7 separate regions of the Mus musculus genome follow, and regions 1, 2, 3, 4, 6 and 7 are each reported to be linked to region 5. The links are microRNA targets in miRTarBase. Many come from high-throughput screens and were not tested one by one. Region 5 holds a microRNA gene; each other region holds the end of a gene's coding sequence.
The links. Region 5 holds the annotated microRNA mmu-miR-882 (AGGAGAGAGUUAGCGCAUUAGU, at 2,907-2,928, opposite strand). A microRNA usually pairs through its seed, bases 2 to 8, with sites in the 3' UTR of a target mRNA and lowers its output. Matches are read on the target gene's strand: a 7mer-m8 pairs with bases 2 to 8, a 7mer-A1 pairs with bases 2 to 7 and ends in A, and an 8mer does both.

Region 1 (4,067 bases), not on the chromosome of region 5:
CACTCCCAGAAGCTCTGTCACTTGCAAAGGATAGCATCAGAGCAGAGTCACCTCATCTCTCAGCTCTTCAGAGAACTTCCACTCTCAGCTGAGTTTTTGAAGACAGTGGAATACACGAGGCTGCGCATTCAGGAGGAAAGGACTTTGGCTGTCCTGAGGCTGTTGGCCTGCCTGGAAGGAAAGGAGGGTCTCAGAGCCGAAGACTGCCCTAGGGAATGGAGACAAGTAATGGCCCCAAGAACAGAAGCAGCATGCTGAAGAAAGGTGGCTGGGCCTCAGCTCAGGTCTGCAAGACACATACATGGTGGACACCAATTGAAACTCTTTTCCTCAGGTGCCTCCCCACTTCTGGGAGTCTAGGCTTCTGTCCCTTCCTACTGAGGACCTTGTCTGCAGCACACTCATTCAAGGCAACCCAATTAGTTGCAGCTACCTAGGAAGTGAAGCTGCTGTCTGCAGGTTTACTGTCTCCAGGTGCAAGCCACCTGCAGGCCTGAACTAGTCAGTTCTATCCCAAAGCCAGCGCCCATTTCCCCATACACTGACTGCATTGAATTCAGTCTTAGCTTACATGTCTCTCTCTCTCTCCCTCTCTCTCTCTCTCTCTCTCTCTCACACACACACACACACACAGTGCTCTTTCTCTCTCTCTCACACACACACACACACACAGTGCTCTTTTGTTTGGTTTTGTTTAGCAAATACCTATTTGGTCATATTTATAAACTTTTATTCCATTTTAGTAAAGGGTATGTTTGATTCTGGGAATATTAAGAACCTACAACATGCAAATACTTGCATTTTACTATCTACCTGCCCAAGTCCTTCAGTGGTCCATATTAAGAGTCCCCACTGTCTTACCCAGAAATGCCTGCGAAGGCTAGGAACCCTTGTCACCCATCACTGGCCTCAGCTATTGGACAGAGCCTGGGGAAAGGGAAGCCTGAGCAAATGCTTAATTCATTCGGTGCCACCACTGTACACCGTCCTGTGATTGGTGGAGACAGCAGAGTGCCAAGAAACACATTTACCCACTTTAGGTGATTCCATATAGAAACCGGAAGGGTTTGTCACTTCAGGCCCAGCCCAGCTGGCATCCTCGAACACCAGCAGGTGGCGCTCTTGCACACATTATGCTGCTGGTCTAGCGCTTTTAGCCTACTCTTTTAAAACTTTTTAAAACTATTATCAGCACCTGTACATGATAGGAGGGCACCCATGCCCCAGCATGGATGTCTGAGGAAGTTGAGGGACAACTTTATAGAGCCAGCTCTCTCCTCCCGCCTCTGCATGGGCTTCAGAGATCGACTCAGGCTCAGGCTTGCAGAGCACGCACGTTTATCCACTGAGCCGCATCATGTGGCCCAGCTTACCATGCTACGTGTGCTTCCAGAGTACGTGACACCCGCAGACGCTTGCCTTCAATTCACGGCGTGGATGTGTTGCTGTAGTGTGATCCACATTCCCAGTTATCCACAAAGACCATGCCAGCCATAGAAGGAACTTGTAGGGCCTATAGCTATGTTCAGATACTTCTCAGTGAGTAGTCACTTAGAATCATGAGGAAAAGGGAGAGAGGCATTCTATATGCTAGCTCCTCCTGCAGAGACGCTGACATTTCACATGTAATTGGTCTCAGAAGAAAACCATCCTGCACCACAGAAACACGGCTGTGCTGGAGTAGAGACCTGTACGCAGGGAGAGGGAAGTCAGGAGCTGTGTCCTTCCTGGCCATGAAGAGGAACAGAAATCCCCTGGGTGGTCTTAGAAACACTCAGCACCCTGGGGTCTGTGTGGCCCTGTAGTAATTACCTAGTTAGGCAGTGCAACCCACTGCTGATGAAAAATTGAAAACCTAACATTGTTTAGTTTGTTTTGGGCTTTGCTTTTAGTTTTCTGAGTCAGGCTTGCTATTTACACTAGGCTGGCCTCAAACTTGTGTTAATCCTCCTGCCTTTGCCTCCTGAGTGCCAGGATTCCAGGCATACACCACTATACCCAGCATTACACTACTTTAAGATCTAGTTGGTGAGAGGGGCTGGTGGTGACAACCTTGGGAGATTAATTCTGAACAGGACCCAACCTTCCCTCTCCCCTTCCATCTAAAATGAAATAAAAGCAGTTACATGACAATAAAACCATCTCACATTGGCAGGCATGCTGTCCCAAAGCATGTTTCAGAGCAGGCTTATGTTATCTCCAAGTCCATCCTACCAAGTCTGCCATTAGCTGGGACTTACCCCAGACTTGGATCTTGGCTGGCTGTGGCCAATCTGGGAGGACAGGAGGGATGGATGGCTCCACAGGTGGGCTTGTATCTGCAATCCTGCTAGCAGTAGCTAGGGGAACGACTGCTGCATGCTTTCCTGAGAGAAACCAGGAAAACCTTAGTCACAGCCTCATGCTTACATTTGGGGTCCTTTCAGCCACAGAACCCAGCAGTAATAGGGGCAAGAGCAACGTGGGTGGGAAGAGTGAAGCAGCCATCTTCCCTAAGTCACTACACTTGAGGGTCCTAAGATCTGGGTGGCCCCTTGCTCAGACCACAGCCAAAAGCCAGTTTGCTTTAATATATAAGATGGTGAGGGCTTTGTTCCTTTATAGGGGTATGGTCTCACTCTCACACTAAGCTGTGCAAGGCTAGCCTAAAACTCACCACAGTTTGTGATTAGTGCTAGGACTATAGGCATGAACCACCGTACCCAACCCACTCAGCACTACGTCCAAGACACTACAGTCTTCTGGCAGCCATTGGCTCTACCTACAGGGGCAGCATGCACTGCAGTGTGGCCAAATGCACCTGGACTCAGGAGCCTTTGAGTGACAGATCTACCTCCTTAGCTTCAAGGTTAACTGATACAGCCCAAGTGCACACTGGACTGGGTCAACCAGACAGGAAGAGCAACATGGGAAGGATGTAGTTGGTCAAGCAGCCTTCTCTGGCAACTACTGGGCCTTCCACCCAGGGCAACCCGGACTGCCAGCTGGGTGAATTCATGGGCCCAACTCCAGCTTTTGGCAGCCAGTATGAAGTGTAGGGATAAAGGGTTCTGGACCTGACCAGATGGGCCTCACGGGGTGGGGGTGGGGGTCGCTAGGTGTGTGGAGGTGTGTGTGTGTGAGACCCCTCTCAAAAAGAGCCAGGGGCCTTCTGGGACTGCTTTTTCCATGGAAAGCTGGTAGGAGTTGCACTAAAGGCAACCGAATGAGGACCTCTTTCCCCCAACCTGGGTGGTGGTTCAGCAATCACCGCCTCGCCTCCGGCAGCTCACACAAAGCTTAGATTCAATGCCGCGCCTCCCACAGCAGAAGGAGGAAGGTTGCAGGATTCGACAGGCCAAGGCTGTACAGGCGGGAAGCCTTGGCTAGGAGCTGCACCCACATCCCCGAGAGGAGGCCAGGCCAACCAGCAGGCACAAAGGTGAAGGAAGTGACTTCCTCTATGTCCACACTGCTCCTCCGACTTCCCTCTAGTCCCCTGGAATAGGCTTTCCCGCCCCGGACACCCCGCGCCACTCGGCGCCTTTGGCCCAGGCTCAAGGTCTTGTGATGTGATTAGCAAAGCCAGCGCCTTGTCCTCAGACACTCGGCTCTGCCCCACAGGCCGCAGCGCTCAAGTCCTGTTTACTGAGCCTGGGCGGGGAGAGGGGCGGAGAAACGCGCCAATGCTCCTCCAGGCTGGCCGCTCCCGCCCCCACCCCTACTGCGTCTCCACGTGCAGCCGGGCCGGAGCTGCCACCTACGGGACAGGCCGCGACCCCCGTTCCTAGTCCCAAGCAACTTGGCCAAGCGCACCATTGCTGTTTTGCTGTTCCCGCGCGCGGAGCAAAAACTAGGATGGGAGATAAAAGCTGCGCCAGTCGGCCCAGCCGGATCGGGCGAGGAAAGGCACGTCCCGGGTAGCCCCGTCCTGGGCAGATAGAACGTGTACGTGCTTTCCAACGTTATACTCGTAGAGGCGGAGGAGAGCGAGGTATTCCCGCCGCCGCCACCCAGCAGGACCCAAGGGGGCCGCACGCCCCACGCCGCTCGGGACGCCCAGGCTGCCCGCCCCTCCCCTCCCCTCT
Region 2 (4,056 bases), not on the chromosome of region 5:
AGATGGGGGTCTCTGTAGATATATATTCTGGCTAATAAACACAGAGACTGTAATTAGAACATCGCTACTTTGTAACCTCTGCCATACAACCTCTGTAGGGAGAAGGACACAGTCACAGGTGACAGTTCGAACACATCTCTTTCTTTTTGACAGGGCAGCCCAGTAAGAGCCCAGTGGCACAGATCTGAAATGACACTATCTCATCTAACTATAAAAGCTAGGAACAAGGAGCCACGGAGACTTGAAAGCTGGGTGTGTCCTTAGGCATTCAACTGCCCTTCTCATAAAAGCTTGGGGGTTCCCTGGACTTGAAAGAAGAGAACATGAGAATTTGCATTTAAGTCAGGGAAGTGTGGCTCACCTTCTATTTGTACAGCTTTCCAGTCCTTTTGCAACAAAGTGTCACACACACACACACACACACACACCGCCCCACTCTAACCCATGAGAAAGGCAGCCCATGTTTGCTCAACCCCACTTTACAAAGCTCCCGCTCTTCGAAGCTGACAAGCCAAAGTAATGGACCCACCAAGCTGCCTATGAGAGTGAAAGGCAGACAGAAGTTAAAGATCACCTTAGGGAGGGCAGGGGAAGTCCCATTTCCTTCTTGAACGGAAATTTTTCCAGTGTACAAAGGGTCTTAGTTGCTCAGTTAACAGTCTAGCTTCATTTTAACACACTCCTTGGAATGACATAGATATACCAGGCTGGGTCTCATAGAGGACAAAGCTGTTAAGGATTCATCCACTTGTTTTTTGGTCTTTATTTTTTAAGATTTATTTATTGTAATATGTAAGTACACTGTAGCTGTTTTCGGACACACCAGGAGAGGGTGTCAGATCTCATTATGGGTGGTCGTGAGCTAAGGCTGAGCCGCCCCACAAAATTTTTCCAGTTCACAATCTAGGGATTCACAACCGGATCAAACATCATGCAACATCCACTACCCAAGCAGCATCGTTAAAATAGAGCACATTTTAAGGGGGTTGGCTACACTTCCAGTCACCCAGAACCCAACAGGTTGTGGCTTAGATATAAAAGTCACATTAGTCGGTCCACAAGAAATGTGTCCGTTTCCACTCCGATCAGCAAAGTGGGCACTGAAGATGCCAACCTTGCATCCAGGGAGCAAATCCTTTTTTTTTTCTTTTTCTTTTCTTCTCTTTTCCTTTCTTGACTTGAGCCAAAATATGGGCATCTTATATTTGTGTGTATATGTCACTGCTGTCTCCCTGAAGGCCTGTATCCTCCCTATGGTCACTGTGACCTATGTGGAGTTTTTACCTCCAATGATTTTCTAGCTGCCTTCTGGAGTGGGGCCTGTGCTGCTCGGTGGCCAGGAATGTTACAAGACTTCAGACCTACCTGGGAGGAAGAGGAAGGGATGCAGATGCAAAACTAACGGAGAGAGCTGTCAAAAAAAAAGGTCGAAGGGCTGGCTCTGCAGAAGCAGATAAGCTTGGCGAAGAAAAAAAAAAGTGCAGCTGGAGAAACAGCTGGAGCTCAGTGGTTAAGAGCACTGACTGTTCTTCCAGAGTTGCTGATTCAATTCCCAGCAACCACATGGTGGCTCACAACCGCCTGTAATGGGATCAGATGCCCTCTTCTGGGGTGTCTGAAGACAGCAACAGTGTGTACTCACATAAATATTTTTGTTTTTAATAAAGGGGGTCGGGGGAGCTAGAAAAAGCAGAGGAGGCAGTGAGGCCAGCCCTCAGGACACAGGCCCCGCCAAACCTGAGAAGCCCGGGCCTGTCCACAGAATGAGTTCAGTTTGGCCTCCGTTCCCAAGCGAGCTGTCTACCCTTTGTGCTGTGCTATGGTTGTCCAGCCCCTCAGGGCACCTGAGTCTAAAGGTAACAACGTGTTGTAGGGGACACACAGAGACCCCGCAACCCAGCCCTCCAGTTTCAGGAGGCTCTTGGAGAAGAACCCCACAACATTCATATGCACACAATGCAATTTGCTTGACCAGAAAAAAACCATATATACATGTATATATGTAATTATATATATAAAACTTTATTGAGGAGCTTGAGAAGTGATTAGAGTCAGTACTAATCTTCGAGGTTCCTCCAATCCTGGCAGTGCATAGGGACTTAAGTTTATGTTGCCATAGATTTTCTTAATATTCACATCTGCCTCCTGTTCTTTGTAAATACCTCTTAGATTACTCAAAATATGTTTAAAAATAAATATACAATTCAAATATATATATATATATACATTTGGCCATTTTAAGTAATATATATTTATATATGTGTTTTATATACATCCCTCCATGGTTTACTGAAGCCTATATATTCTTTTAGGTACTGGGAACGACATCATTAAGGCTAATGGTGGAAAAAAAAACAAAAAAATACATACCAAGGATTATTTTTTCAGTTTCTCAGCAAAACACAAAAAGAAGAAAAATGGTTTGGTTTTTAATTCCAAGTGTTTCCAATTTTTCAATGTAAGGTCAACATTTGTTCCTATTTGTATAGAGCCTGGAGAAAATGCAGAGTCAATCACTATCACCTGTTTAAAGACAACTGGCTTAAGTTTGTGTGAAAGTGGGGAGATGCAGATAATTGGCCAGTGAACCCTTGTACAGCTGGACCCCACTTGACCAGGAGGCCTGGGAGGGGCTCCCCGGCCCTGCATGAGCCTCATGCTCTGTGGACACCCCATCAGACAGTGGCTCCATACAAGCCCGAGGAAAGCCTTGATCTGACTCTAACGTTTACAGGAGCTCCAGGGGACAAACGCAGCAGTAACAGCTCAATGCTTCCGTGGTCTCTCTCCATCCGCTCCCCTGTGAACTCGCAGGAGGCCAGAGCAGCCAGTGCCGAGAAGCAGTGCCGAGAAGCTGCTTCTGCATGCACGTCAATCATCTCCAGAAGGCAAGAGACCACGCCCAGAGGTGCTGGGGCCTCACCGGATGCCCTGACTATGGAGCAAGCACAAAGTATTAAGTCCGTCATTTTGATTTTATAAAAATGAACTGCAATGTGTGAGAAACTAAAACACTTGGTTAAAGCACATGGCTGAGTGCTTTCCACACTGAACCATGGCTTGGGCTGACTTGGGACAGGTGACTACCAAACCCTTTAAAGGTAAAGACTGATGCGGATGGAGCTGAGGGTCACCTGAAAAGGACCTGTGGATGGTTGTACTGCTGTAAGGACCAGTATCAATTGTCATCTCCCACTTCACCTCCTGACAGAAATTTCTCACCAAGATTCTAATTACAGTATAATACTAATTAGATCATTTTGTAAAACTATTAATACTAGTGTTTGTGAAACTGAAAACAATCCCATCTCTCCCTGTGGCTGGGGTGGGGGGGAGACGGAAGGAGGGAGGGAGGGAGGGAGGGAGAGAGAGAGAGAGAGAGAGAGAGAGAGAGAGAGAGAGAGAGAGATGCTAGGAAGCACACTGGGGCACAATGGTCAGAATAGCAACAACAAAAAAAATCTGGAAAGATAAATGAGAAACCAACAAATATTCAATTGACATGAAATACAGGGAAATCAGAAAATGCTGATTCGCCTTCGCTGTACCACGGTGGTTCAGTCACCATGGCTCTTCCAGACGACTCCTTGGAGACTCCGTCCTTATGAACTGTGCAACATGATTAGGGAGGTTCTGTCTTTAGCTCTGCCCAGAAATAAGCGTGAGCTAATATAAATTCAAATCACAAACTACTCAACTAAGAACAATGTATCCAATCTTGGAAAAACTTGGGCAAGCGCCTGCTAACCTTTGGATCCAGGCTTCAGACTTGCAAACACTTTGGGGTTCTTAAGGGCAAGCGAGAGCTCGTTGAGGAAGGAAATAAAATGGGAGTCTCTCTCAGATTTCTTTGACTCAAAAATGACGACGATGGTGAAGTGGGGTTCCGGGCGGGTCAGGAAGTAGGTGCTCTGGACTTTGTCGTCGTAGAAGTGGACCACTTTCTCCAAGCTGTTCAGGTCAGATGCTCGGTCTGTCATGATCATGATAACATTGGGCCAGTGCATGACGGGCCTGTCACTGGGCAGAGACACCACGGCTGGGTACTGGTCCACT
Region 3 (4,067 bases), not on the chromosome of region 5:
CAGACTCTGCTGTGACATTAACAAGGCTCAGTCTCTCACTAGGTCGGGTGCCCTTCGGAGTGGACCATGCTCCTGTTTACAACTACCCCAAGCATCTCTGTGGTGGTGCTTTTATAGTCCCCACTAACACCATAGTTCTGACCCAAACCAAAGCCACTTAAAAACCAACTCATGGATGCATCCCCCAAGCCCTCTGCCCTCCGTCCCCATCGATGCTCATAACACCAACGACTGTGGATCCCAGCCGCCTGCGTGCCCTCCCCTCCCCCAACCCTCCTCCAAGTCCCCAGAAGGGCTCAGCCCACTCCTGACCAAAGTGTTTCCCTTGCAGATCCGCGTCGTGAAGGCGTTCCGTAGCTCTCTCTATGAAGGGTTAGAAAAACCCGAGTCTCGAACCTCCATCCATAACTTCATGGCTCATCCTGAATTCCGGATCGAAGATTCCCAGCCCCACATCCCCCTCATCGATGACACCGACCTGGAAGAAGATGCCGCGCTCAAGCAGAACTCGAGCCCGCCGTCCTCGCTCAACAAGAACAATAGCGCCATCGACAGCGGGATCAACCTGACGACCGACACGAGCAAATCAGCTACCTCTTCAAGTCCAGGGAGCCCCATCCACAGCCTGGAGACGTCGCTTTAGCTGAGGCCCCTGTCGCCTGGCCACGCTCATGGACCCGCCGCCACCCGCCTCCAGGCGCACACCCTTCCAGGCACCAACTCCCCGACACAGCAAGGAGCACTGGGCGGAACCCACACAGCAGAGAGGGAACCAGACCTTTCTCTGGCAGCCATGCTGTTTGAACTCTTTTTCACTCCTTAGGCCTTGGGCGGGGTTGCCCTGGGGTCATCTGGAGCAGAGAGTGGCGTGGATTTTTTTTTCTCCAAAACATAAAAAATAATAATAACGAATTAATTAAAAAAAAAAAGAGCCTTTCCAGGCTCCAGCCCAGACACGGACCAGCCATGCACCCGCCGGCCACCGTGGCCCCAGCATGAATGTACCTGGACACTATTAATCCCCTCCCTCATTTGGTTCTTGGAGGGCTAGGGAGGGGAGTTTTTTGTTTGTTTCCTTAGGCGGGAACTGCAAACAGGAACTGGAACAGAGACTACTGTTCGTTCAGTCCACTGGTCTATGAGGTTTCAAATGCTTGCCCAGCATGGTCTCAAATGTCTAGATTAATTTAATAACTTTTTGAAATCACAGAGTAGGTTTGCACCAATGAAACCCAAGAACTCCACAGACACTCACGAGGTTATATCCGTTTCTTTGTATCTATATCAACGTATACTTCTTGAAGACTGTATACGTGCGTATAGATAAGTAGATATTATATATATATATATATACATATATATACATGGATATATAAAGTTCCTTTGCCGGCATGTTGCCTTGTTTCTGCTTAAATTGCTCTATTTTAACTTATGTCCTAAAAGAAGAATGTAATTTGTTTACAAACCTGTAGATAATGTCTTTGGCTATTTGTGTGGTTTAAGGACACTGGTGGCCAAGATGCTTACAAACAGCTCGGGCCCAACAGACACATCCCCTGGATTGCATCCTTGAAGTTTTACGATAGCCATGCTCTGATTTTTGCCTGCTATTTCCGTTCAATAATGTCACTACTGTGGGAAGCTCAGGCAGAAAGCCAACGGCTCCCAAGGATCCACCCTGAGGAGCTAAGCAACGCGCTCGCTCACTCCACCGTAGACAAGGGAGAAGAGGAGAGAAGGCTTCCTGGGTTTGCAACACGGCCGTCCAGGTCTGGTGACGTCAACGTCTGTAGTGCACCCGGAGAAGGAAGACTTTTCTCTCAATGAAACTCGCTTGAGTTTACAGAGAGCATTTCAGAACTGAGTTGTCTTTGGCACTGTCTGTGAGTCAAGGTAGTGTTCAGATATTACAAATGCTATTGTGTTGAATTTTTTTTTTTTTTTAGTTAGTAATTTAGAAGTTTCTTTTCTTATAAACGGCAGCATAGACACTGCTGACATACTGGATGAGGGTTGGTACGGCTTGCTGCTTTTGTTTTTTTTTTTTTTCTTTTTGAAGAAGAATAGCCTTTTTTCTCTGCACTATTTAGATCCGAATGAACCTTATAATGTGTACATTGAGATGTATTCAGTGTGATTTTTAAACCAAATTGTCTTCCTGTAGTTACAATATATACTGTAGCCTTTTAACAGCAAGTCCTGCTTTCCCAGACAGAAAGCCATTCTGATATCTTCCCATATCACAGGTGAGAAAAGGTGGCTATCCCCTCTCCCAACAATAACAGCACTAGTTATCCCACTTAATAAGAGCTTGTCTGTCGGCCTCTTACTGCTAAGCACTTTGTGGGTCTCAGCTTTTTTTCATAAAAGAACTTTTGTATTTAATACAAAGTTTGCTTTGAGACTTTTCAGCATACAATCTTTTTCCATAAACTTGTACAGTGCAAAAGACATTTTGAATACCATGACCGATGATGTCCCGTGCTTCGAGGAAATCAAACACTTTCCGCCTCACTTGTGAACTCCATCCTTCACTCTCTCCCTCCTCACAATCGCTCCTCCTCGCTCTTCAGCCTGGCCCCCCAGCCCTCCTCCAGGCCCAGAGACCTCTTCACTAAACAAGATGACAGCCACTTGGGAAAAGAGCCATAGTCAGCTGGGAGGGCCCACGTCTGGATGGCTGTGAAAAACTTGAGTTCTTGGTTTGGGCTTCAAAGTCTGCCCATCCCACCTGGCCATAATCTTTCTATAAGGAAGAATATCTCTGAAGGATTCTGATTGTATCCAGGAGAGAGAGAGAGCTACCTCTCCAGCAGGTGGACCAGCCCTAGATGTACTCACTGGATTCCAGTACAGACACCACCAGAGCCAGTCCATAGTACCCCTCCAAGGGAGGGAAGGAAACCCGGGGCTGCCTTGGAACAGGATAGGTTTTTGGTTTGGTTTTGTTGTTGTTGTTGTTGTTGTTGCTGCTGCTGCTGTTGTTGTTTGATTGGTTTGGGACTTTTGGTGGGGAGTCCTTTGTCACATTTTTCATCCTGCCCTCCTTCATTCAACCATGCATCTATGACCTCATTCCATGCCACCAGGGTTCTTGCTCTTAACAAACCGGGGTCCTCGGGCTTTGGAACCAGGCCTCCAGGGCAAAGAGGAAGGGGTTCTCTGAGCAGAGCCAGGTTCTCAGACAGGAGCAGAGGAAACTAGCAAGGAGGCCTGACATTAGTGCTGGCTTCCCGGTGTCAGGAATGAGAGATAGCCTATGCCCCAGCCCCTCACTCTCACACTCTTCCATACACACACACACCTACACAGGAGATGGTTGGTTTGTCAGAACTCACTGTAATACACAAGCTTGCACTTCTGCGTCCTATATCTAGCAGCATGGGATACGTTTGGCAGTTCACCCCATTAGGGGGTCAATAATTTATGACCATTCATCTGTTTTTATGAATTTTTTTATCTAGACAATAATTGTAAATAAAGAATTCACCGTCTCTGCTCATTTAATACTATGCAATGGTTATGTTTTCCATGGCTGGCTCTTCTGGCTCACATAGGTGTTTCTGATGTGTCTATGGTATTTAAAAAAAAATCAAGCAGAAATAGGAAATCTCTACTCTTTTCTAGCGTGGCCCCCACCCCCTTCTTTCCTGTCCTCTGCATTCTGTAAGTGCATCAATCCCCTAGCCTGTCAGATAACTGAGAAAACACAGGTGAGCATCCAGCAGGGGACCTGAACTTTGGCTCTGGCTACTTCAGAGTCACCCATCTGTGGAGGGATAGGGAGAGGCTCAACTTGCTGCTCCCAGCTATCCAGGATTGAGGAGCAGCCTCCATGTCTCCACCCACCCATGCTCTCCTATCCTCAACCCAACCACAGCAGAGCTGACTGGAGGGAGGTGCCCTATTTCTGAGAGTGGATGTGGCACTGGCTGCTCCCAAGCCAGAGCCCATCCTATCCTGGGTCCTCTGGTTAATAAAGAACCACTGTGTCCCCATGCCTGTTGAAAAGCCACCTTTGCCTTCTCCTAATTTTTTACACAGACTTCAGTCCAACTCTAGAATTT
Region 4 (4,065 bases), not on the chromosome of region 5:
TTTCTTTTAAGTGACTGGATTTCTTTTTCCTAGCCCAAAGGGTAATATTAAAATAGACAGAAAAGTCTCTACTGCCTCCACTACAATTAGTAGGAAAGCATTTAAAATGGCTATACCTGAGGCGTTCCATACGATTCGACAGTACACTCATTGATACTGCTTTCTCTGGGGAGTTTTGGTAAATAGAAAGGCAGCAACAGCAGTGAGGTAACTCACAGTGGTGTCTGTATAACCCACTGCTCCTGTCTTGGCTATTAGCAGCAACAAACTACAGCCTGAGGATTAATCACTATTTCTGGTTTTCTTAGGAATATGCATGCCCTCTGACCACAGCCATTTTCCTCGAGGGGAAATTGAGGAAAGCATCATTGAAAACCTTGGTAATGACCACAACGCCGCCGCGGGGGATGGATATCCCAGAAGAACCACACTGACTTCAAAAATATATCACACCAAAGGTAGTAAAGGGGCTTTCAGGCTCAGCCTTTCCCATTTAATATATCAGAAGTGCATTTAGAATTGTCTCAGTGGGATGGTACAGGCCTCGCAGTAACTGTAATTTTCCTTCTGTCTCCTTCACAGGACAAGAAGGCTCCGTCTGCCTCCGATCATCAGACTGTGCCGCAGGGCTGTGTTGTGCAAGACACTTCTGGTCCAAGATCTGTAAACCTGTCCTTAAAGAAGGTCAGGTGTGCACCAAGCACAAACGGAAAGGCTCCCACGGGCTGGAGATATTCCAGCGCTGTTACTGCGGGGAAGGCCTGGCTTGCAGGATACAGAAAGATCACCATCAAGCCAGCAATTCTTCTAGGCTCCACACCTGCCAGAGACACTAAACCGACAGTCTAAATATGATGGACTCTTTTTATCTAATATATGCTACGAAAATCCTTTATGATTTGTCAGCTCAATCCCAAGGATGTAGGAATCTTCAGTGTGTAATTAAGCATTCCGACAATACCTTCCAAAAGCTCTGGAGTGTAAGGACTTTGTTTCTTGATGGAACTCCCCTGTGATTGCAGTAAATTACTGTGTTGTAAATCCTCAGTGTGGCACTTACCTGTAAATGCAGCAAAACTTTTAATTATTTTTCTAGAGGTGTGCTACATTGCCTTGTTTCTCTTGCATGTAAATTTTTTTTGTACACGGTTGATTGTCTTGACTCATAAATATTCTATATTGAAGTAATTTTGGTTTACAGTTCTTAAATGTGTAACCCTTTCTGCTTCAATGTCTAGGGGGTCGAATGTAAGGAGAAATGGAATAGTCGGTGATAGGCATCTAAAATTTAACATGAAAGTATCAGTTTATTTCCTGAGATGTGCTCTCTGCTTAGATTCTCTCTCTCTCTCTCTCCCTCTCTCTCTCTCTCTCTCTCTCTCTCTCTCTCACACACACACACACACACACACACACACACACACACATCTCTCCTCTCTAGTTCTGTCTCTCTCAGCTGGTAGTCCTTGAAATAAAATTTAACATTTAATAATCATTAAGTTAGAAGTATAGATACATTTGGGGCTCTGTGTGTGTGTGAGAGAGAGGGGGGGTTAAAATGATAAGATATATTGTCTGTGTGTGAGTTAGTTTAAAGAGAATGTATCTACATTGATAAAACTCAAATGGCTTTGGTAATATGGGCTTGAATTTGGTATAACTACCTTCAAAACTTCTAACAAGTGTGGTTGGTGCTTTTGCCTATAATCCCAGGATTTTGGAGGCTGAGGCAGAGGGATGCCCATGAACTCAGGTCCATTCTGGCCAACTCTTTCTATAGAACAATGTTCAGTTTCAAAAAAAACATCAACCAAAAGTAGTTAACAACCAATTAATATTCACCTAAGTGACCAACAGTTATTGGAAGGGAGGGAATGCCCAAGCAAGTGATTCCAGATGATGGGCAGAATTCAGAAGAGATTATGCAGAAGGAAGCCTGCCAACTTAAGCCAAATAATTAATTCTGAATATTTTAGATCCTCTGACATGCTGAAGAATTGTTTCAATCACTTTGATTTAAAAAATAATTACTAAACAATCATAAATTCTAGAATGTAACACTTCTCTTGCCAAGAAATTATTTCATTTTTTGCTTCACCTGTACTCCATTGATTGGAATGAGAATGGCTTTATTAAAAAAAAAAATCCCCGAATTGAATTCTCTCTGCATGTTTTCTCACTAAATTTCATATTTCTTTGCGGGGCAGGACAAAACAACCTTCCTAATTTATTTATTCTCTAGTATTCTGGAAGTCTGCATCAAAACCACAAAATGCTGGGTTCACTATTCACAGGATAGTCGGGACTGACTGATTGTCCCAACATTTTCCTTAAATAGCATAGCTGGCCTAGAATATTCATCTGTTTCTGTGTTCCCGGAAGTGGTTAATTTTCAAGGGAGACATGCAACCGCGTATGCACTCCGACTGGGGCTCTCAGAGAGGAACTCTGGCAGGACTTCAGTGGCTGTGGCCCTTTTGTTCACAGGTCTCTGCTTCTTCATCCAGAGAAACTCTCTAAGTGTGTTCATTGCCTCTTGTTCTAGGAGGGTGGATCTCGAGGCCTGCCATCTTCAGGAGTACCCAATAAGAGGAAAGGTCAAGGGGACATTTTTGTAAAACAGGAGGAAGAAGGGCTTTCTAGGAGAGGAGTAGGGCAGATGCTTGCTGCACTCTGGTTACTGGATCCTCTATGCAGGGGCCTGCTGGAGTGCGGATACCTTTTTCTGTACATCTCACTGAGCATGTTAAGTTTCAGCCTCTCCTGGTGACCCTCAGGTTGAGGCCAGAGAGACTGGTCAGTTAACCTCCATCTACCTGGGATCTTAGGAGGTCAGTACCAAGAAAAGGAAATCTACGAATATATAGAATATAAATTTATACTATATGTTGTATATGTTTTGTAGAATATAATATAGTATATAGTATATATGTGTATAATATATTGCATATATACGCATAATATATTGCATATATTATAAATACATATATATATATGAAGATGAAAAATCAAAACCATAGGAACTTTTTAATTGAAAAATTAGAAGAGGGACATTATATACCACACAATCGTTAAACGGGATCTTAGGAGGTCAGTACCAAGAAAAGGAAATCTACGAATATATAGAATATAAATTTATATTATATATTGTATATGTTTTGTAGAATATAATATAGTATATGGTATATATATGTATAATATATTGCATATATGTGCATAATGTATATTGCATATATTATATATACATATATATATATGAAGATGAAAAAATCAAAACCGTAGGAACTTTTTAATTGAAAAATTAGAAGAGGGACATTATATACCACACAATCGTTAGATGGGATCTTAGGGGATCTAGAACTTGTTTGTGATAGCTGGTTCAAATGCTTTGTGATGGTTGACCCCTAAACAATGTATCTGACTTCTTCCCCATGAGAATATTTCACCAGCTAATTTACCATTTTAAGCTTCCATAGGTTACACACTGCCTCGCACCTTGCTCTCTCTGCTTTGAGTGTCTTGACTACTGTCCTACACAACAAAGAGTGGGCGACTCAACCTGTGAGTGGCTTGCATTAGGTAGAGGCTCTCTGATTTACTCAACCAGGTACCAAGAGACAATCAGGTGGTTTCCAGAGTGACTTTAATAACTATTGTGCCACAGGCATAAAATCCTCCTGTTTTAATCATAGTATAGTTGAGTTTTGACACAAAATTTCAAATCAAATGCCGTGCTTTTTCTACCTACTCAAAGTCTGGCATGGCCACAGTAGCCACAGTAGATTCTGATTTCTGTGGTGATAAACTCTTAGGAAAATTTGTTGAAGGGAGGAAGGGTGGGATAGAAGCTTTACTTAAACTTTTTACAGTAAGCATCAGTCTCTCCTACTAGGAGAAGGTTAACCTCTTTTATATCAAAGTGGTTATACAAGTCCCTCACCTCTATCTCATGTTCAGCTGGAAGACTTGAAATGTGTTTCCTCTTTTTAAAATTATTTCTTATTTTTAACGTTATAATATAGTTACATCATTCCATCCTTTCCTTTCCTCCCTCCAGTCTCTCCC
Region 5 (4,067 bases):
CCTAGGAGCACACATTCTGAGGAGTACAAAACAGAGCACAAAAGAAAAAAAAAATGCCATTGTCCTTCAAGGACCTTTGATTATCTACCTATCTTTTGGGTTGGACCTCTGAGCTTCAGACAAGTGTTATTCGTCATCTCTCTCATACCTTGGTAACTATCATCATTGGTCCAGAAATGGCTTGACCTTTCCTCGTTCTCATAGATACTATTTACTGGCTAAGCCAATAATTCACTAGCAATGCTGGTGATACACAAATATTCAACAGGAGCACAGCTCTCTGATATATTCAGACTGTAGTATTCACAGCGCTATGAAGAAAGTGCTATGAACCATCTTCAGACATCGTATTTACTCAGGACACAAGCCCATCTTCACCCCAAAAGACAAAGTAAGAGTAGACCTGTAGGATTCTATTTCATGCTTTGTAAAGTTACAGCCATAATAACCAAAACATCGACAAAATGTATGGCTTTTACCCATGTTTACCTTGAGGCAGTCATTAAACATAGGAAATCCTGCAGTCAGCTCTCAGAGGCGCGATGTGGGGAACAACAAACAAAACAAAACAAAGCATTTGTTAAATGACTTTTAAAAGCAGATAAAAGAGCAACAGCTTTCAGCTTTGACTTACAGAGCCATATATCTAACTCATGACTAAATAATATGAATGATTCCTTATGTACTCCAGAACGTAAACTTCGGCTATAGGATGTAATGTTTGCATTATCATTAATAAAAGAATAAAGAGTAAGGAGTTGCTCCACACAGACCCGACTCAGGACAGGGTGGTAGGGACTTATAACTAATGTGGTGGTCAACCATATTATTTTCCTTCCACCTTTTCCCAGGGGCAGCTGTGTTGACTCATATGAAGTTTCTGTTTTAATGTTTGAGGGTCACTCACTACTCATAGAATGTATGCTGTAAAAGATTAGTGAGTGGCACACGACCCTGGACACGTGACAGACTTTCTCAATGTCATTATCATGGACAATCCAAGCCAAGTACAGTAATATGTGATTGTGGCTTCAAGTTTAGAAGAACCTAACAATTATAAATATGAATCACAATATGGAAACAAACTCTAATATGCATAGGTTGTGATATGCTAAAAATGATTTTAACATATATAACATAAATTTTCTGAGGAAAAAATGGAGACTATAAGGTTAATACGAAATAGAAAAGAAATTGAAAACCTCTGTGGCAGCTGGACTGTGCTTGGTTTCAATTTTGAAGTTAAAAGCTATTGCTGTATGATTGATCTTACACATGCCACGTGCACAAGAACTATGTGATATGACCATGGGGTTTTACCATGATCTGCCCGAAATGTGAAACTAAAGTGAATACCAGTTGTAGTGGTGCTGAAGGGACATCAGAGGAACTCTCTATGACAGGAAACTTTTGCAATGACATCAGTCAATCAGCCTCTGTGGAAAATGAGAAAGACCTGTTAGTAAGCCATTAAAAAAAAAAAAAAGACAATTCACAGGACACACAAGCAGAGATTCACTCTATGAAACTGGGTGTACTGCCCCCTTTTAATGAACTTAATGAATCTTATCAATGATAGTTCACTTGACTGATTTGATAACGAATACCTGTCAAGACCTAGAACCAGACTCCATAGGAGAGAGAGATGCTGATTTGTGACATGCAGACTTGGGGTGGTGGTTCACCATCACCAGGTCAGCCTTTCTGAGGAAAACAGGGGAGAAAAGGGACAGAGAGTGTTGAGACTGTGGGTCACCATGCCATGTTCTCCACGGTGACGTCACTCAGGCTGATGGGCTTTGCCTGAGCTGTACCTGTACATTTTCTTCCCAGAAAAGACTAATTTCTTTCCACTTGAAGGAAAAAAGAGCTGGGTCCCCTCTATGCTCTGGCATGCTGCTTAGGGTCAGCATCTCAGTACACCTATTTCTCAACATGCCCTTTGTGAGGTCCCCATGCAAGGTTGTGGTTCTGCACAATTTAAACCAACTTCGACTACCTGTCAGCCATGTTTCCTTGCTAATGGAACTTACAATGGAGGGCAGTTCAGCTCAAGTGGCTCTGTACCTGACTTCAGATTTCTCTTGACATGGATGCCATCAAGAAAAATTCAGATGCCACCAGATCTCATCATTGTTCTGGGTTCCCCTCTCTCAGAATTGACTCATTCTTGGTAAGTGTGGCATCACACTGTGTGATCCACAAGCTAGCACTAAGTTAACACTTTCTACCCATATCTGCTTGATCACCGATGCTTTGATTAAATCTCCATACCTATAAGCAGGTGCGCACAGAAGGAACAGAGCTGGAGTTGACAAGTCACCATGGGCTGTGGACTGTTGCCATGGCATCCCAGGAATTGTCCATTATCCATAACTCTACCATCACTAGAGTCACCTTCCTGGAGGGAAGAAGGCAGAAAAAGGAAAGGAAAATTGAGACGCTGTCCCTACATTGTCCCAAAATTGCTGCATTTCAAGCATGCTATCTTGTAGGCTTTCTCTCAAAAAAAAAAAAAAAAAAAAAGTGGGTGTGGCCTTAAGGCTCCTCTGACGAAATTCCATGGGAATATTTCAAGCTACATGATCAAAGAGCAATCAAGCCCTCACCTCACACCACAGGTCCACAAGGGACGGGCATAGACCTATGGGCCTCCATCCAGAGCTTAGCTCTTAGCAAGGCATCAGATTTCTGGATACTTGGCGTTCATGGAGTATCACTCAAACGCCACCAGATCTCATCATCGGTCCTGGATGGGGCTCCCTCTCTCCCTAGCCAACTGCACACCTTAATTGCTTAGTGGGTGCTGAGGGCAGAGCTCTGATCACAGGGTACTAGAACATTCTGTGTGGCAGCCCCTGAAGAGCAGCCATTAGAAAAACCCAGAAATCAGGACTAACTATTGCACTAATGCGCTAACTCTCTCCTGGTACTGCTGTAAGGAAGACACAGTTTCCTGCCACTAAACGTACCTGCAAGCTGGTGGGCAAGGAAGATCAAGATGTTGCCTCTTGGTCGGCAAAGCTCTGAGATGTCACAGTGGTGATACAAGGGTGGTTCTATATCTCAGCATGCTGGTACCATCTGTTGGGTCGCCATTTCTGCAGGGTACAGGGCAGAGAGGAGAGAGTCAGTGTTGAGACTCTGTGGGCCACCACCCCATGTCCTCCCCATTTACGGAGCCAATGGTCATGAGCTGGGCCTACTTTGCACTGAAACTTTTTTCCCAGGAGAGACTAATTTCTCACCAGGGGCCAGAAAAAAGGATTGGACCAAGAAGAGGCTAAGGAGTCCTCCATGGGGTCAGCCTATCATCTCCCCAATCTATCAACATGCCTCTTAGATCTCCCAAGCCATGCTGCTCCCCACCAAGCCCTAGGTCATGGTCCTACCAACTATAACCCGACGTTGCTTCTCTGGAAGTCCTTGCCTAATGGAAACTGATCAGTTTAAGGAGCAAAGGTGACACAAATGATCCCGCTTTCCTCGATCTCAGGCTATTAGTTAGCACCACAAGGCACACAGCTGAAGTTGCTCTGTGCCTGACCTCAGACATCTGTTCTCATGGCTGTCATCGAGATACAGTCAGATGCCACCAGATCTCATCATAGGTCCTGGGTTGGGCTCCTCTCTCTTGAGGCTTCAGGAATGGCTCATTCCTTGGCTACTGTGGTACACTCAAGAGACCACACTGTAGGAGGCTATCCTGTGCTGTGGGGGGGCTTGACACTGCCTGGTCCGCAAGCTAGCATGAAATTAACACTTTCTCTCCATAGTCTGCCTGACACCCATTTTATGAAGAGACCCTCCATACCTGTAAGTCAGTGCCACACAGGAGGATCACAGCTGGAGTTGACATGTCACCATGTACTCTGGATTGTTGGCAAAGCACCCAGAAACTGTCCATCACAGCAAACTTCTCATATCACTTGGGTCAGCTCTCTGGATGTTGGAAGGTAGAGAAAAAATAGAACTATTGAGACATGCTCCCAAGTTTGACCCAGGATTCCTACATTTCAAGGGCACTGTCTTGTCAGCTTTATCTCTAAGGGAGTGGTTGTGGAATT
Region 6 (4,067 bases), not on the chromosome of region 5:
ATGATAGTAAAAATATAGAATGCGGGAGATGGACTGGCAGTTAGTAAAATAGCATCTTGCTTGTGGAAATGGTAACTGGAAACTTCAGAGTAGCATCCTAGGCTGGAATTATGGCATCATAATTATACCTGTTAATGCAATCCAATCTCTTCTAAATGAGAACAATACAGAGAGGGGAACATGGAGAACAATGGTGAGTATTGCTAGGATACAGCCTTCCTCCCAATTTATACATCTGGCTGAATATTATTCCAATAAAATTGCAATAAAACCTCAAATTCTTTAGCAGAAGCTACAAGTGTGCTTTATTTCTGTCATATTGGCTCAGACAAGATTCACCCTCATTGACGGCAGATCTGAGTTCTTTTGGCATTGGTGGAACCTTTAGTAGGAAGGCAGGGTCCTCGTGAAATACTGCTTGAGAGGACTAGAATAGAAGAAGGTAATAAGAAAGGGGTTGATGAGCTTTGTGTGATGGGAGAATAGACACAACACCCGTGTCTTTTGCTAAGTTCAGTAAAGTGGCGAGGGTACACATAGAGCTATGTTACAGTCCATTCTCTTCCTGCCCCTTAATATATATTTTTCTCTCTTTTAAAATGTTTGTTCCCATAGATCTATCTCCCTCAACCAGCCCTTTGCCCCGACTCTGTGTATAAGCTGATGCTCAGCTGCTGGAGAAGAGAAACCAAGCACCGGCCATCCTTCCAGGAAATACACCTCCTGCTTCTTCAGCAAGGAGCCGAGTGATGATGCATCAGCACCTGGCAGTGTTCCTGTGGCCCAGATCCTTCCCACAAGACCTACTGCTCACCCACATCTAAGCCACTCCAGCTGGACATTCAATGGACCCGAGAGACAGAGAATTAGTCACTCTGCCCTCTCTGTCCCTTGCCTCCTCCACTACACCTCCCTGCTCCCTACTATTGACTCATATATACTTTTTTACATGAAATAACTAAAAGAAGAAAAAAAAATATAGAGCAGATATTAGTAAAAGAAATGTTACTTGATATACCAAATGGTTAGATAATGAAGACTAGAAACTCAGATAATTTATAAAGGTTATGCTTCTGTTTATAAGTGTGCAGATCCTACAATATTTTTCCGTGTCACTTTCTGTAAAATACCTTTAGAAAGAAAAACTTGAAGAATATGAATGTCTTGAGAAACATGAGATTAGGCTTAAGGAAAATACTTAGAGGTAATGAAGAATTGCAGGACTTGGCATTCCACAACAAATGGATGATTTTCTGATTTGGACGTGACTCTCAGATCTCTCTGTCTCTGTCTCTGTCTCTGTCTCTCTCCTCTCTCTCTCTCTCTCTCTCTCTCTCTCTCTCTCTCTCTCTCTCTCTCTCTCTCTCTCTCTCTCTCTCGTCAAAGTGAGTGGCATGTACTTAAAAACCTCTATCTTGTGTCTTGGAATGAATGTTTTCTTCAATCATGGCCAGAGATCAGAGCCTACCCATGAAACAGGGCATATGGATAGAAAGAAATGTCTGTTGTAAGGCTTGAAGTAGGACACAGAAAGGGAAAGATTGCACAAGCTTCCCGGTAGACCATGGTCATAGGAAAGAAGGTCCTCGGAGGATGACTCGCAAGTGTACTATTTGTTGTTCATCTGTGAGGGTCTTCACCTGTGTGTTCTAGTGACAACTTGACTTTACTCTGTAAAGCCTCAAGTTTTGATATTTTAATGGTTGCTCCATCAGTTCCTCTTGTCCAGTTCTATATCTTTCACTATGTGATGCCTTTGTGGGATTTATAGACTAGGGCTTCAACTTCTCAGGCACAAGTATCCAATGTCATGTCCAATATACAAGAGATATGTTTAGAGTGTTTCCAAAAGTTTGGCCAAGACCCCTGGAAAAAGTTATAGGAAGACTGATTTCCACTTTTGGGAAAATATGGAAATAGAACATATGCAGGTGGGGGTTTTCCCAGAGATGGGGAATCTCTCATCTCCGAAAAGTTTCAGATACTAGCTGAAGAACTCTGCAGGGAAGAGGTTGTTGACTACTGGGTATATATGTATGGGATAATAAAAGGATGACCATTTGGTGTTACTGAAAGTGCTTTTGCCAAAGAGAGGGTGGCCAGCGGCAAAGCATGAAGTTCTTTTCTGGCTTTGGGATTCACGAGAACTGATGCATGATCAAGCAGGAGTCACCTTAGTGACTAACTTAGTGACCCTAAGTTTTCATCCTTCACAGACTCTAAGATTCAGCAGCAATCTACACTACAAAACCCTTAAATCCTATAGAGGAAACCAAGCTGAGGTAAAATAGTGGTGATCTGCTTCTGTCTATCCAGTCAGCTTGCTCCATGGTCTCTTAGAAACCTGAGAGCTTCTTGGTTCAGCCTTCAGCATGGCTACAGGACACAGCAGATGTATAACTCTAAGTCTTGACATTAATTTCATAGATCCCATTCGCTCACAGCACATTTACCTCCTCTCCCATGGCTTTTCTACCATTCTCAGCAAGACTAACTTCGATCCCAGAGGTAGGAGAGAACATTGGATTGGGAACTCTGGCCCTGTGCTGCCTCAAGCCAAGTATGTCATTTTCCCAAGTCTTGCTTCTCTCTGAATTTGTTTTCTTATCTGTCTCAAAGGAAAACCGAATCTATGATTTAGGAATCTCTTGGAGTTTTGCTTTGTTTTGTGCTTGCTGGAGAACTAGATTTGTGGTTGATGTAGGTTCAGTTACTGCTCAGACAATTGTGGCCAGTAATAGTGATCCCGAGAGACATCATTTAAGTAAGAGCAACACCTGCATTATATCTGCTTTAGAGTGACCAGTGCTGCTTCACGTTATCTCATTTGATAGTTCTAGGGCCAGACATGTTTCTTTCACAACTCTTGACTATATACTCTTCAGGATTCTGCCCCCAGTTCACTGTATTCCTTTACAAATGAAATTTCCAGGACTTTGCTTTATGGAACTAATCTATCCCAGATGGCTATCAAATATGTATCTTCATGTACAGGCACTTTGTTTTTGGTATGAAGAAGGTTCCACCTTCTGGCACTGAAACCTTTGTATTACAGACACAGGTTTAGTTTCTAGTTACACTAGTAGAGTTTAGCAGTACAGGTCTGAGTAGCCAACCATGGTAGAAGGTAAAGACTTACTCTGTAGACAGGTAGCTCAAATCTAAACTAGGGAAATGAAGGTAGGTTTTGGAAAAGAAAGCAGAAACAGATGAGAAACTGTGGGATCTTGTTATTTCCCCAAGTAACTCGTGATCACGATATATGTGAACCATTTATGTCAAGATGTCCTTTAGACTATCATATTTCAATTTATACCTTTATTGATGAATGCATACATTAACCAGGTCCATTTATGTTTTTATTATTGGGGATCATACCCAGAACTCACATTTGCTAGGCATGGGTCCTGTCATTGATCTATGTTCAAATCTTGATCTGGTGACCAGATAAATGTGTAACCATGTCACATATGTGACCTGGAGTGGAAATGAGTGCCCAGAGGAGAGCATGCATTGTTGGAGCTGTGGAAAGATTGTCTGTGAACGCTCAAAACTGTAATACAAAAGAGGGCTGTATGCAAGTATGTGAGTAGTGTTTTTTTTTTTTAAGTTGTTACATGAATGTGTGTGTGTGGCTGGAAGGAGAGGATGGGTAGAAAATAAGAAAGAAGGCACAGTGAAAAGAGGCAAGGAGAGGTTCTGGGGAAGATATGGGGTGAGGCAAGTCAAACGTGGTAGAGACAGGGTTGGCTGGAGGCCATGAAGTCAACGCTGATGCATGCCAAGAGATCTGAGAGAGGTTAGAAAAAGTGACTTGGGAAGAATGGAGGGTAGGTAAAGGAGAAATGCTGGGTGAAGGAGCCTGTCTTTAGTAAATCGATGTCAGGTACACCGTAGGTAATGCAAGGGATTTTTGTAGAGTTGAAGAAGGACATGGTCTTCATGGATATAGAAACATGTGGCCACCAGAACCATTAGGGAGTCACCTATTCATCTCAGGAAGTGGGTACAGAAGGCATTTCGCTCTCCTGTGGGTTCTAGACCACATGTAGGGTTGGTGACAATGC
Region 7 (4,067 bases), not on the chromosome of region 5:
CCCTGACATGGACTCCCTTTATAAACCTTGTAAACCCTCAAGGCAGGAAAGTGGCCAGGCCCTGCCTTGGAACTCCAGCAACCCGAACCTGCCCCCAAGACATCCCTCAAAGCACCAAGAGTCCTTTTCTAAAAGCTGTAACTGTCATTTCCAGCCCTGAGGCAGTAGAGTGGCCAGGTCCCACCTTAAAAGAAAAAAAAAATCCCACCAATCTTTGAAGAGGACAATCCACCAATCCCTGAGCTCCCCCAAGCTCAGGACTTGAAACCCCACCAATCCTTATCCTGGAAAGCTCTGCCCTGGAAAGTTCCACCTCCTAGAAATCCTATATAAGTTCTGCCTACTGCTCAGTTCCCTGCTGTCTTCTCACCCAATCAGAGGCAGCTGCCCTCCTAAGTTTCTCCCTCCCAATAAATCTCTTATGTGAGGTTTGTTGTGTGGTGTGACTTTGTGGTAATCCTTGGCTCCTGACTGCCTTCAGATATGCAATACTTAAACTCCCCCCTGAAGACTTCCAACTTCCACATTTCACCCGTAGAACACTAACTGCTCTAATGGACCTCTTCAGTATTCATTGGCTTTCAACTCCTAGCTTTCCATCTGAGTTGTAACATAGCCTCAAACTCACAGAGATGCCTCTGACTCCTGTATCCTGGGATTAAAGGTGTGGGCCACCACTGGCTGTGTGGGGGCTCTTCTTAACAGTCATAAAGTGAGATGTGCCGGGTCAGAGAAGGAAAGAGAAAAAAAGAGAAGTGAGAAATGACCAGCCTTGGGAAGAATACACAAGAAGAGAAAATCCAAGTGAGCACCAGCTGAACACTTAAAAAACTGACTGGATTATGTGAGGTAAGCTTAGAGGGTGAAGGTCAAGATTAAGACAAGCTGAGTATCCCTCATTTGTGAGATATACCAGATGTCCAGACAGAAGTTGACTAAAATTCAGGAGGGATTTCAGACCAGACCCTGACTGGTAGATATTCAGTACATTTTAAGTATATAGGAGGGACACTAGGGAAAAGTAAGCCAAATCCAAATTTCAGGAGCAAGTACTCTCAATAGACAGGTGATAGCAGTGATTATCATGTTGTAAGTATTTTCTGTAATCTACATGAGTGTGTTCTAAATCCTCACACAGTGCTATTATTACCCCACAGTGCTACCAAGAAGACATGCCCAAAGAATGTTACTTACTATTCTCATCTACTGGCATGCTTATGGAGTTGGGGTAACTCTGGCTGGGGAACCCCTGTGCTTTGTCTACTTGTTCTACTATTGAAAGAGGAATGGAGAAGAATTCAGGGAGTACACAGAGCTAGGAGGACCCATAGAAGAGATGGGAGTAGGGTTTCCAGGAAGAAATCACCCATGATAGGAGGATAAGGTTGGAAATGATGTGCTCTAGGGCCACAGATGCCCTACTAGAACAGTCAGAGCACCTTTCTGTTTGAGTATGAATAGGGAGATGGGGTGGAGGCAGTAGGGGGATGCTGTGAAAGCCTACTGAAAGAGTGCTAACTGTGCTAACAGATATAGGCTTGTTCTTATGCATGAAATAGAGCAAGCTTACAGTGTGGGAGAGCAGACCAAGCTTAGATAAGTAGACGTTGCCTTATCCCTAGGAAATGCTACTTTCCCTCTCCTTGAAACATCTGTTCTTATGCCATATCTGCATGTTCTTTCTTCCCTCTTACAAGGCAAATCCTTCTAAGCCTTCTTTGAGACTCAGCTCTCTGCCCATGCACACAAGGGCTTGTCAGCAGTCTTCATGCTTTACCTCCCCAAGGATTCTAAACTGTCTGTGCTGAAAACCAGTCCTCCATATTAGAATCTATGCTGTAATTGTTAATGCAGATTCTTTCTGAATAGTTCATCTCAGCTTCAAATTCAAAATCCTGCTCCAGCTTCCTGTGTGCCAGAAATGCAGGTATGTGCAACTACACTTAGCTCCAAGCCTAGACTCTTGGCCATGCAGGTCCCTCTACACAAATGAGTATCCTTATATATGTCTTACAATTACCTTATACTTTACATGTCCTTAACTGTATCATTTGGAGTCACTCAAATAGCCTCTTCACCTATAGTAACTATTGGCAGGACATATACAGTCTTGTTCTATAGAGTTAAACTCTGGTGGAACTTCTGCTGAAATCTTTATATAACCCTTAAAATTCTTTGCGCTGGGTTTGCTCCATTCTAGGTCTTATAACAATACATTGTAGGTACCATTGGCACGTAACCCATTGGAGAATCGCAGTTATGGCCTCTGTTCAGTGAAAATAATGGTTGAATAAAATGGGATCAGAACCATATGCAAGAGACTGGCACCATGAAAAGTACAAAGCTCATTATTCTCTGAGATGAGTTGAAGGAGGTGAGGAGGGATGCTGGGATGTGTGTATTCATGGGTTCATACACAGAGTAAGGGGTGAGGGACAAGCTTCATGAAAAGTTAGAGGTGAGATGGTTTGTTGAGAATGAGGGAAAGGAGTCTTATTTGGGGTTGAGCTGAGTAACAAAGCCAATGAGGCTGATGCAGGACCAGGCAAAAGGGAGGCCAAGACTTCTCTACAAGGTTGGAGCTGGTGTGTTCTCTGTAAATTAAGTGTCTAACCTGAAATCTGTCCAGTGTGTTATATTTCCCATTTGTTGTAGACATGGGATTGTTCAGTGTGGCTTAGGTCTATAACTACTTTTACCTGTAAACTATGAAGTCATCCTATTTGCTGTGATTAACATAATATCTTGGAATCTAAAGACAGAACACTCATCTGGATGGTGAAAAATGGATTGCATGCATCCCTACATGATCTGTGTTCCTCAGAAATGCCAGATAAAATAATACAAGATTGAGAGAAAACTCTTGTTGTTTTCAGGATGAAAATATCCACATATCTTTCATTAAAAATTAAAATATGTTTATTTGAGAAATTGTGAACATGACAAGCTTTGGACTTCAAAATTCACTCTTCAGCTTGATAGATTCTGATAATACAGTCACCCTTTCACTTAAGTGTTGTTTTCCTTACTAAATGTCTGAGAGTGACCCACCAAGAGCATGGTTTGTTCCACCAACCATAACAGATACACGTACGTATGTACACACACACACACACACACACACACACACACACACACACACACACACACACTTGGATGCATGCATGCACAGAGGGAGGGAGGGAAAGAGGGAGAGAGAGAGGGGGAGAGAGAGAGAGAGAGGGAGAGAGAGAGAGAGAGAGAGAGGGAGAGAGAGAGAGAGAGAGAGAGAGAGAGAGATTTTCCATTTTTTACAAGGAATAGTCACATCTTTGTGAAATATGACTCTCAGTCCTAGCATGGTACCAAGTGAAGTATTCAGAATGAAGGAAGGCTTAGTTGAGGAAGATTTGAATGCCGTTTCTTTGGAGGGTAATACAGTATTGAACTCATGCAAAAGAAAGTGTTCCCATTTGCTCTTTGTACATCTGTGCTGCAGGCAGAACAGAGACTAGTACATGCTCTGCCCTTGAGAACATGCTACTGTTATGTGAATGTGAGCACACTATCTTTCTAAGGCAGCCTTACCCCCACCCCTTTTTTCTCATACCCCCCACCCCTTTTTTTCTGATAAGTATCACTAAAGGCAGTTGTAGTTTCCATTGTGAATCTATAGCTTTCTGTGGAGGAGGAATCTGTTATTACAACAGTCCAAGAATCACTGTAGCACAAGACACCCTATCGCTAAATTCCCTGTGCTAGCTGTAGTCCATGAGTTATTTTCTTGTTTTGTTAATAATAAATATATTTGAAACCACCTATGCTTCAACTGTTTTCTCAGCTAAGGACGTAAGCAAATCCTTATAGACTGTGGAGTTCATGAAGCGGGGATAGGAGTCTCTGTGCATTAGAGTGTAGATCTGCAGTTGAGCGTCATCGAATATGTGCTGGGATGGATCCACCATGTTTCTGTTGATAACCTCTCGTACTCGGGAGTCCAAGCTGACCTGTGGAGAGAAGCAGCAATTATTTCTGGTTGTAAATTCATCCAAATTCCCCGAGTCATTTTGTCATTCAAAAGACCCCAA

Region 1: the mRNA of Thada is a reported target of mmu-miR-882. Seed matches in the 3' UTR shown: 7mer-m8 at 583-589 and 7mer-m8 at 1,272-1,278.
Region 2: miRTarBase lists BC048403 as a target of mmu-miR-882. Seed matches in the 3' UTR shown: 7mer-m8 at 3,363-3,369.
Region 3: miRTarBase lists Atp2b2 as a target of mmu-miR-882. Seed matches in the 3' UTR shown: 7mer-m8 at 2,536-2,542 and 7mer-A1 at 2,806-2,812.
Region 4: the mRNA of Dkk1 is a reported target of mmu-miR-882. Seed matches in the 3' UTR shown: 7mer-m8 at 1,351-1,357 and 7mer-m8 at 1,428-1,434.
Region 6: the mRNA of Ddr2 is a reported target of mmu-miR-882. Seed matches in the 3' UTR shown: 7mer-m8 at 1,305-1,311.
Region 7: the mRNA of Rgs20 is a reported target of mmu-miR-882. Seed matches in the 3' UTR shown: 7mer-m8 at 3,247-3,253, 7mer-m8 at 3,223-3,229, 7mer-m8 at 3,205-3,211 and 7mer-m8 at 3,191-3,197.

The regions. Positions count from the first base shown.
Region 1 is chr17:84,188,142-84,192,208 of GRCm38, reverse strand. It overlaps Thada (thyroid adenoma associated), which reads left to right. Exons shown (of 38, transcript NM_183021.3): 38 at 1-2,153. The coding sequence ends at 258. It overlaps Gm36279 (a long non-coding RNA gene), which reads right to left and starts at 21. Exons shown (of 4, transcript XR_385852.4): 1 at 1-21.
Region 2 is chr10:121,750,807-121,754,862 of GRCm38, reverse strand. BC048403 (cDNA sequence BC048403) reads right to left here. Exons shown (of 3, transcript NM_173022.3): 3 at 1,998-4,056. The coding sequence ends at 3,744. Among named protein-coding and RNA genes, the nearest start is that of BC048403, 13 kb to the right of the region's middle.
Region 3 is chr6:113,745,113-113,749,179 of GRCm38, reverse strand. Atp2b2 (ATPase, Ca++ transporting, plasma membrane 2) reads left to right here. Exons shown (of 20, transcript NM_001036684.3): 20 at 332-4,067. The coding sequence ends at 643. Among named protein-coding and RNA genes, the nearest start is that of Sec13, 6.5 kb to the right of the region's middle.
Region 4 is chr19:30,543,956-30,548,020 of GRCm38, reverse strand. Dkk1 (dickkopf WNT signaling pathway inhibitor 1) reads left to right here. Exons shown (of 4, transcript NM_010051.3): 3 at 309-458; 4 at 583-2,145. The coding sequence ends at 836. Among named protein-coding and RNA genes, the nearest start is that of Dkk1, 3.5 kb to the left of the region's middle.
Region 5 is chr12:109,681,068-109,685,134 of GRCm38, reverse strand. Mir882 (microRNA 882) reads right to left here and starts at 2,938; the gene lies at 2,862-2,938. AF357341 (a small nucleolar RNA gene) reads right to left here and starts at 3,616; the gene lies at 3,542-3,616. Gm22981 (a small nucleolar RNA gene) reads right to left here and starts at 2,751; the gene lies at 2,678-2,751. Gm25856 (a small nucleolar RNA gene) reads right to left here and starts at 2,141; the gene lies at 2,067-2,141. It also overlaps Gm23787.
Region 6 is chr1:169,974,538-169,978,604 of GRCm38, reverse strand. It overlaps Ddr2 (discoidin domain receptor family, member 2), which reads left to right. Exons shown (of 17, transcript NM_022563.2): 17 at 616-4,067. The coding sequence ends at 750. Among named protein-coding and RNA genes, the nearest start is that of 3110045C21Rik, 7.2 kb to the right of the region's middle.
Region 7 is chr1:4,906,677-4,910,743 of GRCm38, forward strand. Rgs20 (regulator of G-protein signaling 20) reads right to left here. Exons shown (of 5, transcript NM_021374.5): 5 at 2,900-3,986. The coding sequence ends at 3,798. Among named protein-coding and RNA genes, the nearest start is that of Tcea1, 51 kb to the left of the region's middle.